Linked DNA regions of Nothobranchius furzeri. Each later gene encodes a partner of the first gene's protein in a complex. Links are inferred from orthologs where the notes say so. Each region holds a gene or a part of one and is shown on either strand. Other genes may lie near its edges.

Region 1 (4,873 bases):
GTGAAAACTTGCGTCTTTTTAAATGAAAACAACAGTGAAGACTGAATTCCTGAAAAGCTTTATTAAACACATCCTGTCTACCTGCAGCATCAGTGACCCTATAGTGTGTGTGTGTGTGTGTGTGTGTGTGTGTGTGTGTGTGTGTGTGTGTGTGTGTGTGTGTGTGTGTGTGTGTGTGTGTGTGTGTGTGTGTGTGTGTGTGTGTGTGTGGCAGAAGATGTGTGACTTGACACTTTGTTGGCTGTAGAGGCTCACTCTCTCCAGGTGGACCGCTGCATTTCAGAGAACACACGGACAGAGAAACACACACACACACACACACACACACACACACACAGCTGGGAGGCTGGGGTGCTGGATATGGCCCAGCATTTTAGCAGATGGCCTGGGTGCTACGCTATCAGTCACCATAGTAACATGCTCTCTTTTTCCTCTTTCTCTCTGTCTTTCTCTCCTTGTCTGTAGTGCTAAGAGAAGGAAAATGGCAGACAAGATTCTTCCGCAAAGGGTGAGGCTGCATGTATTTATCTTTGTTGTGTTTCTGTATCCTTTTACCTTTTGTCTGCAAAGCAGAAAGATCCTGGTCGCCTTTTCGATGCCCGGGGTCCTGAGGCGGCGCCAGGGGCCGGATGATAATTTGTTATTTCCAAAATAAGAAGGGATGGGTGGAGTGGAGAAGAGTTTTCAGGGTGTTTGTTGTTTAAAATTGAAGTGGTTGTTTGGGTGTGTCAAGAGATGCAGACATGAGTGGGATAGAAACAAGTCGCAGGTGAGTTGGTGGCGTTTGCAGGTTGTGATTTTCTTCCTGTAGCATCAGGTTTTTAACCGCATCCTGTAAGAGAGAGGGGTGAGTCTGCTGAGCTCTGGGCGTCTATGTTCAGGTCTTATCCTCTGACGTTACCCTGACAGAGAGATAGCAGAAGTCATGGCATGGGGTGGCACTCCACTACAATGAGTCAGGCATGGGGAATGTCTTCCACACTTCTCCGCCGGCTCGGCACCTCGGCCCGGTAAAGAGACGCAGATAGAGGAGGAATGAATGGAACAATGAAGGCAGGCTCTCAGGAAGAAAGATGAAAGAAGCTGGAGGGAGGGTGAGGAGCTGTAGGAGCAGTGTGCAGCAGCCCGCCATGCTTGGTGGACTTTCATCTGTATGGTAATGTTGGAGTCCTGGCTGTTTGTCTGCAAAAACTGAATCTCATTTTAATCCCCTCATGCCTGTTAAACACACACGACGGCTTCTACTAAAGCTTTTTATTTCCATGCAACCTCATTAAAGTGCTTTAAATGTGTGGGACACTTATTTAATCATTACATTTGCAGTGATCTATAGCAGGAATGAATGCTCTGTAAGTCCTGCTCGGTGGAGAAAAAAAGCACAGATGCGCCTGTTTCATGAACCACCAGAATGCCACATCAGTGGACAGCTTAACACGGCGGTATTTAGAGTCTTACTTCCTGATATTTGGACATCTCGCCTCTGATTGGCTAACAGCAACATGACTCTACCACTGTTTGCTTTGCAATGTGGATGTTTTATCTCCACAAATAACACAAGCCTGGAGGAGATCAGCTGTGTTGTGGAGTTGCTAATGCTAACAGTTAGCTTCTATCAGCCGAGGCGTTCTCTGCTGTTTCTTGGATGCTAAACCGCCAACAGCCTTCAATCTAAAAAAAAAATTCCTAATAACATCTGGCTGAATCTATCGCGATATATGTGGTATATCATGCCAGCAATACACATGCCTAGTCTCTCATTAAATTAGCTGCATACACATGCTTAACCTTACAACATGTTAGGGATTAAGTGCTAATTGCTGCTAATCTAGCCTATTAACACAGTTCAAGCACTCAATTTGACTACTTTAATTAAACGCCTGTCAAATCAGACTGATTATACATACATAGTTTATTGATTTGGATGCAAGATACTGATTGTCTACAAATATTACTGACACTTGCAGCTAAGCACTAAAGGTGTGTGATGTAAAGTTTATGACATTACTAAAAACTGCAAAGGTTTTATCTCTTTTTATCGTTTGATAAAAATAACTATTTTTACTGTAGTAACTAAGATGTGTTAGCTAATATGTGTTGAATATTTAAGCTAACACGAATCAGCTAACACACTCAATTTTTATTTTTAACGAAAAAATCTGACTTTTTCATTCCTGTTAGGTTCTGATTAAAATGTTCCTAAAGTGTCTTCCTTCCTGCGCAGATCCGTGAGCTGGTACCAGAATCTCAGGCCTACATGGATTTGCTAGCCTTTGAGCGCAAACTGGACCAGACAATCATGCGTAAACGCGTGGACATCCAGGAGGCGCTGAAGAGACCGATGAAGGTAAAACCAGAAGAAAAAGATCTGATCGGGATGGTGGAGTGGACCTCCTCGGGCGATTTCATACTAACCTGTTTTCTTTAATGTTCCATTTGTGTCAGCAGCAAAAGCGTAAATTAAGGCTCTATATTTCTAACACCTTCAACCCGGCTCGACCCGACGCGGACGACTCAGATGGCAGCATTGCATCATGGGAACTGAGAGTTGAGGGCAAGCTGCTGGAAGATGTGAGGATTTTCATGTATTCTCAGCAGGGTTTGAATTACACACAGTCTTCTGGGGGAGCCCCGTTTCCTTGGGTGGGGGGGCTGTTGTCCGTCCGATCACCTTCATTATTGCGCCATCGGGGGGGGGGGCTAGATCACTTTTGAGGTTACCTCGGGATGTGTCAGTTGAGGGCTTCTGGGGGAGCCTATCACCTTTTCAGGGGAGCCGAGCTCCCCCTAGCTCCCCCGTGATTCGAACCCTGATTCTCAGACATTTTTAGTTAACTTTGGAGTTTTATTTCAGAGGGCACCGTCTAGAGGAGGAAAAGTGTATTGCACCACAAGCCCCTCTCTATTCTCGTGATCACAGCTAGAAGCAACACCTCTCGTTTGTTAAAGCACACCTTTAGCTAGCCAACAGAGGTAAAACACAATTATTATTCTCTGCACCAGTCTAGGTACGTCGTCCAACTCATGCGCCCACTTGGTGATGGTGCATGTCTAACGCTTCAAATTGCATGGGGCTCTATGGAACGGGGGGGGCTGGCTCCAATGTAAAACTATCATTTTTACTAATTTCTAAAAGATCATACGGTATATAATTCCTGAAAGAGGGAAAACTCTGAATTGCTGCTTTAAAGAACTGGTTTTAGGAGTGTTTAGAGATGACAGTAATTAGTTCTGAGCCGTAGGAGCTGATGATGTCAGCAGCAAAGTGCGCGAAAGTTTCAGAAACCAAAAATTTTTCAGGTTAGGTCCAGAGGAAGTGGGTTCTTTATACGTCTGCTCACTGTTTTAATGTGATCTCACTCAGCTGCTCGTGGTTTCTTACACCTTATGAAGCTAAAAACAAAGTGCATCTATTCATCTATATTTGTGAGTCCACCCACACGTGCACACAGCCGATCCTAACCCACCACCTCTCGTCTGTCCCAACAGCCCGGGAAGCAGAAGAAGAAGTTCTCCTCGTTTTTTAAGAGCTTGGTGATCGAGTTGGACAAAGATCTGTATGGGCCAGACAACCACCTGGTGGAGGTCTGCACAAACACCCCAACACTACTGCCTGCCACCCACCGCCTCAAAAATAACTAAATAAATAAAACACACAAACTCACCTTCAAGCAGCATCTTTTGGATGAATCTTTAACCCCGCTGGGTTAAAAGGTGACTCAAAATAAATCTGAGAGCTTCTTATTAACATTTTACCTCCATTTCAACGACGTCAGATCTAACGGACACTAAACTTTTCACAACACCTCTGTTTTTACCCCTCAAAGTGAAATATGAAAGCAGCGTCAGAAGGTGGTCAGTCTGACGGGGAGTCTAAAGGAAGTCAAGAAATAGTTCAGCTTATAACACCCTCCTAAAACCGCAGCTTATTAGCTTTCCACTTCACTTAAAGTAAATGTGAAACAAATGACAGCTGGGTGTCTGTCTGGGCTCTCTTGACTGTTTTAAGGTAAAAATGCTATTTTTGGTAGCTAGCCACCTTAAAATGTAGAATAAATCAGAATAAGATAACTTTTTATGTGTAAACAAAGCTTTTTTGGAAAAATTTAGCCAAATTCTCCATGTTTTCAAAAACTGATGCTACTTTTCGCCTGATTTTGACATTCTTCCTGAACAGTTTGTTCCGTTGCTAGTAAAGAGCTTTTCTCTGCTGCACAAATCACTAAAGCCGTTCAGTCAAGGTCGACGTCCCAACATTTTGTCTCGTCTGGCTAAATCTTCAGGAACACCGATCCCGCTTTGGCTGAACATGAAATTAAACAGAAACACGAGGCTGTTCAAACATGCTAATGAAGAAACCGGCTGCTTTATTTTAAACAACCAGCTGCTGCTCTTCACCTTACATAAAAATGTTCCGACGTGTTTTATGAAATCCACTTCAGGAGATTCGGAGTGGAAATCGCGTCCTCTCAGGGTTTCATCTTTTTAACCCAGCGCTCAGGTGCTTCGCTTTGAACCGTTTTCAATCAAAAGAATTCAGCTTTCCACCCTGAGACGCATTCAGGGTTTGATCTGTTGGGGAGCGTGTCAGCTGACACGGAAGGGACGGAAAATCCACACGTCAATGTTTCTGAAGATTTAAATAATAGGTGTTTTAGTTATTTAACACCTTGCTAGCTAATGTAAGCCAATAATATTTAAAATATGCAGTCTAATTTTGCACTCTGACTCCGGTTATTTAGCCAGGTGGTTAAACCTCTGCTCTCCTGAGGGTTTGCTTTCCGTGCATGGCTGCTTTGCAGATATTTAACCTTTCACCAAACACAGCGCTCCCTGTCAGCGCGGGCGCTCCACGCTCAAACGACCTCCTCCAGTG
Region 2 (4,873 bases), on another chromosome or scaffold:
TTTTAGAAATAACGGGACACTCAGTAGAGCCATTATATTATATTTTTTACAAGTGTATGTAAACTTCTGACCACAACTGTATTCTGAATAAAAGGATTTTTACGTTATTGCTCCACTCAGTGTCACCTGGTTCTCTGCATCTTTGGGTCCTAACCTCCTCTTGGCTCCCCATCGTGACAAACAGTCTCAATAGATACTAACATGGAGGAACAGAAGATACAGATACGGCAGTTGATTTTGGAAACAGGTCCCAATCATACCCTTGCAGACATGCAGTGTCAGAATAACAGCAGTCGCATAACATGCTTGATTTCACCCATAGTCTTTGTCTGTCTTCATAAAGTTCCTGAATCCATCCCAGTGAGAAATTCCCTCTGTTGTCTTCACTCAGTCTGCTGAGCATACATTCATACGATGCAGATTCGGCCATTCCTTAATCTCTGGAGATTCTGCTGCTTTCCAGTGTCTTAAAATGACACGACAGGCTGTTATTAATCCCACTGAGATGATTGAAAAATTACATTTGTTTACATTAGGGAACTGAGATTTATTTCCTAATAAACACAGTTCTGGGTCAAAAGGGATGTCTGTTCCACACCACTTACTTAGGATCTTGACAATCCGAGTCCAGAAACATCTAATAGGAGCACATTCCCAGATATAAAGCATAAACGTCCCAATATTCCTTTTGCATTTCCAACATGAATCGTCATCCACTAGCTTCATTCTAAACAGTCTAGATGGTGTATGATAGTATCTGTGTAGTACATTATATTGCATGCTTACCACGATTGAGAACAATTGTTTTCCATTTATCATTATAAATCATTATGCCAAGGCCTTTCTGCCAGATCATTTTTAACTTGCTTTCTAGCTGGAAGTTTCACATCCTCAGTTACTGTGTTGTCTTCAATATTATACGGCTGCGAGGTAATGCAGCTTCTCATTTGCAAGAATTTCCAAAAATGACCCTTTCCCACTAAGTTAAACTCTTGCACCAGGTTATCATGTGGCAGAAACACCCCTTCTTTAAACAAATCACCAATAGTATTTAATCCTTTCACTTACCACTCTTCCCAGTAAACAGGTTTCTTCCCTATGCAGATCCTGGGATTATACCATAATGAGGAATATTTCTGCTGACTATGTTTGAGGTTTAACAGTCTATGGACTCTGCCAAAGCTGGTTTTTGTCCAGTTTGGCATTCTTTACATATCTGAGAGGAAAAATCCCCGAGAGGGGGTTTGATGGTCAGAGATATAGTAAACACAGAAGCAGGATATTTAGGATTTACCGACTCGAGCAGGGATCATTCTTCTGTTTTCAAAAGTTTGAGAAATTTTTCTGCATGTCTTTTTTTTTTCATTTCAAGTCACACGTTTTACTCAGTTTTATTAAATAAATTAATGTCAATATGAGTCACATGTTTCCTGTGGCTCTAATATGAGAATCTGGAACCTATTATGATTATTCTGTCTTTTAGGGTTAATCTTAATTATTATTTTGTGTTGCTGCTCTTTTTAAAACTTTTTTAGATCACATAAATGGCTTCAGGATATATATATATATATATATATATATATATATATATATATATATATATATATATATACACATAATTCTGATGTTATTTTCTACAAAATAAAGAATTAGAAAATCTCATCCAGGCTAAACATTTCAGATACACTCAATATTAATCAGTTTTGTGCTAAATAATAGCAACGGTGGTTTGCCGTACTCAAAACAAAATAAATATGTACCGGTAAATGAAATGAATAAATAAAGACCTCCATAAATGTTCAGTGGAACCGTTATGTTTCATGTTGGGTTCAGGTTTCGTCCTGCTCTGCTGCCTGACTATATCTGTGTCCCTCCTCTGTTTCTGCAGGCTCGGTGACCAGTTTTATAAAGAGGCCATTGAACACTGTCGCAGCTACAATGCTCGCCTCTGTGCTGAGCGCAGCGTGCGAATGCCCTTCTTGGACTCCCAAACTGGCGTGGCTCAGAACAACTGCTACATCTGGATGGAGAAACGTCACCGTCGGCCAGGTGAGACACACCTGGGAGAGCTTGTGGGGTGGTGGTGGGCGAGTGGTACAACACTATTTTCCCTCCAGTTAATAAATAAATGTTTAGTTCTACACTTTTTAAAATTTAAAAACACACAAAAACTCCACTCTCAAAACAATAATAGCATTATTCAATATTATCGGCTGATATTGGAATTAAAATATAACACATGAAATTATCGGGATGAGATTTTAAGAACCAGCTTCTGCTTTTTGCAGATGATGTGGTCCTTTTGGCTTCATCTGAAAGTGATCTCCAGCTTTCGCATCAGCTCCTCTAAAACCGAGACCATGGTCTTGAGTCAGAAATGGGTAGAATGCCTTCTCCGGGTCAGGGATGAGGTCCTGCCCCGAGAGCTGAGCCGGAAGGCAAAGCTCTCGATTAACTGGCCGATCTACATTCCTACCCTGATGTATGGTCACGAGATTTGGGTAGTGTCCAAAATGATGAGATCGCGGATCCAAGCGGACAAAATGGGTTTTCTCCGCAGGGTGCCTGGGCTCTTCCTTAGAGATAGGGTGAGAAGCTCGGTCATCTGGGAGGGGCTCGGAGTAGACCAGCTGCTCCTCTATGTTGAGAGGAGCCGGTTGAGGTGGCTCAGGCATCTGATTAGGACGCCTCCTTGGTGAAGTTTTTTGGGCACTTCTAATTGGGAGGAGATCGAAAGGAAAACCCAGGACACGCCGAAGGGACTATGTCTCACGGCCGGCCAGGGAATGCCCTAAAAGGTACAAAAAGTCCCTAAAGAAGTGTTGATCACCAGTTCAAAAGCTTGTTCGGGTTCATCTGAAACAAAATCTAAAGAAATGAGGGATGACTTTAACACTTGTAAATATGCATCCATTTCTTCAATAAGATCAGACTCTGATGTCTCAGAAATGGTTTTTCTTTGATTTATCGAGCAGTCGAGACTTTTTACGCACGTGCGGTTCATCTGAGAAGCCAAAGGGAACAATCATGCTTTTTTCTGAGACCTGAACAGAAATAGCCCGCTCTCCATCTCCATGCAAAGTCCTTCAGGCCACACCCTATACTTTGTGGCAGACCTAACACACATGATATGCATTTATTCTGGGCTTATTCCTCCCCCAACTTCTCCTGAGATTTTTATTTGATGCTCTACTCATGTGGACATAAAAGCTCTTCTCCTTTGCTTCTGTCTCCTAGATTATGGTTAAATGCGTAGGTAGTTCATTATTTATGAGCAGGGAGATAATTATGCTTTGCCAGAGCATTCTACGATTTTAACGTGTTTGATGAAATATTTTTTACTTACAAACAACAATGCCAAAAAAGAAAAAAAAAACTAAAATTAAATCTTTGTTTCTTTAACCAAACAAGTAATTTATCTGAAATAAAATAGCACCATGTTTAACAGGAATGCCCCCAAACCTATTATTCCCATCTAAGGAAATTAATTTGAAGGCTGAGAATTATTTATTTATTTATTTTAAACAGTCTTGGATTATTTAGGAGACCAAATATCACACATTATATGCTAACATAAGTCCTGCAATTTGTCAGGACCAACCAAACAGGCTAACGTCCAGCCAATCACGTATTGTGACGTAAACGGCAGCTCCCTCAGCTGATCTGAGAGCCTGAGTACATCTGATACCCCTGCATTAATTCCATGTAGATTTTGGTGTTATGCAAAAATGCTAAATGTGTGAAAATTAAAAAAACTTTGCTTAAAAAATCTTTGAGTCAACTATTATGAAATTTTGAGCAGTTTGATCTTTGCTTTGCTCTGGCTAGCCAATTGTTCATCAGTCAATTTGGATATACACTTTGTTTCTCCATACTGATGTTCAGGAAAAGTGAGATAGTAGCAATGTCTTTAAGTACAAGGCCTGTCCGTGGACCAGTGTACGTGCATGCGTGGGTTTGTGTGTGTGTGTGTGTGTGTGTGTGTACAAAACTCAATGGAGGGTTTGTTACCCTTGCCAGTAGGTTTTGAAATTCTTCCAGTGTGCCCATGTCTCTCCTCGCGCTCGTGTGTGTGTGTGTGTGTGTGTGTGTGTGAAATCTTATAATCCTGTTGCATACGTGTGTTTTTTCAGGCCAGGCTGCAGGACAGATGTATACGTACCCTGCTCGTTGCTGGAGAAAGAAGAGGCGACTCCACCCTCCCCTGGATCCCCAGCTCCGCCTGTGTGAGCTTCGTCTAGGTAAGACAAGACAAACAACATACAGGCACATTGCTGCACCGAACACACACACACACACACACACACACACACACACACACACACACACACACACACACACACACACACACACACACACACACACACACACACACACACACACACACACACACACACACAAAAAGATGGTTTTGACACACCGTTGCACAAATAAAACCACTTTAACTCATGCATTGTTTCACCTTTGCAAACTAATGTCAATTTAATAGAAATGTTCATCATTTCTCTCAGGATTGGGCCATCTGGCTCTGGTTATCCCATCTCTCACACCAGGTCTCCAGGTTCATTCGCTCCCCTGAATCAATCCCCCCTCTTGCTGTTCTGTGGCTGCATGCACACACTTTATACTAACACCCCCCACATGTGACTCTTTCTCCCCGCTGCAGCTCAGAAGCACCCTTAGTAGGCCTCAATAGTAATTTATTCACAAGACAATGACATGTGAGTCGTATGAAGTGGCAGCATTGCTTTATGATGTGCATCCGTGCATGCTTACAGTTTTTGTTAGAGGGTTTAAGCAAAGGAATGCTCAGGAACCTGATAAGATGGTGGATAAAGGCATAGCTTTGTTTCTGCTTTCCTCATCCATTGTT

What was found.
Region 2: smarcd3b (region 1) and dpf3 share a complex: the UniProt entries of both Homo sapiens proteins name them as parts of the BAF complex. The link is inferred for Nothobranchius furzeri from reciprocal best matches to the Homo sapiens genes SMARCD3 and DPF3.

What each region holds. Positions count from the first base shown.
Region 1 is NC_091747.1:45,528,174-45,533,046, reverse strand, and holds part of smarcd3b (SWI/SNF-related matrix-associated actin-dependent regulator of chromatin subfamily D member 3b), read left to right. Parts: intron 1-465; coding exon 466-508; intron 509-2,221; coding exon 2,222-2,344; intron 2,345-2,442; coding exon 2,443-2,568; intron 2,569-3,486; coding exon 3,487-3,582; intron 3,583-4,873. UniProt on the Homo sapiens protein: Involved in transcriptional activation and repression of select genes by chromatin remodeling (alteration of DNA-nucleosome topology).
Region 2 is NC_091742.1:25,620,762-25,625,634, forward strand, and holds part of dpf3 (zinc finger protein DPF3), read left to right. Parts: intron 1-1,888; coding exon 1,889-2,049; intron 2,050-4,133; coding exon 4,134-4,241; intron 4,242-4,873. UniProt on the Homo sapiens protein: Belongs to the neuron-specific chromatin remodeling complex (nBAF complex).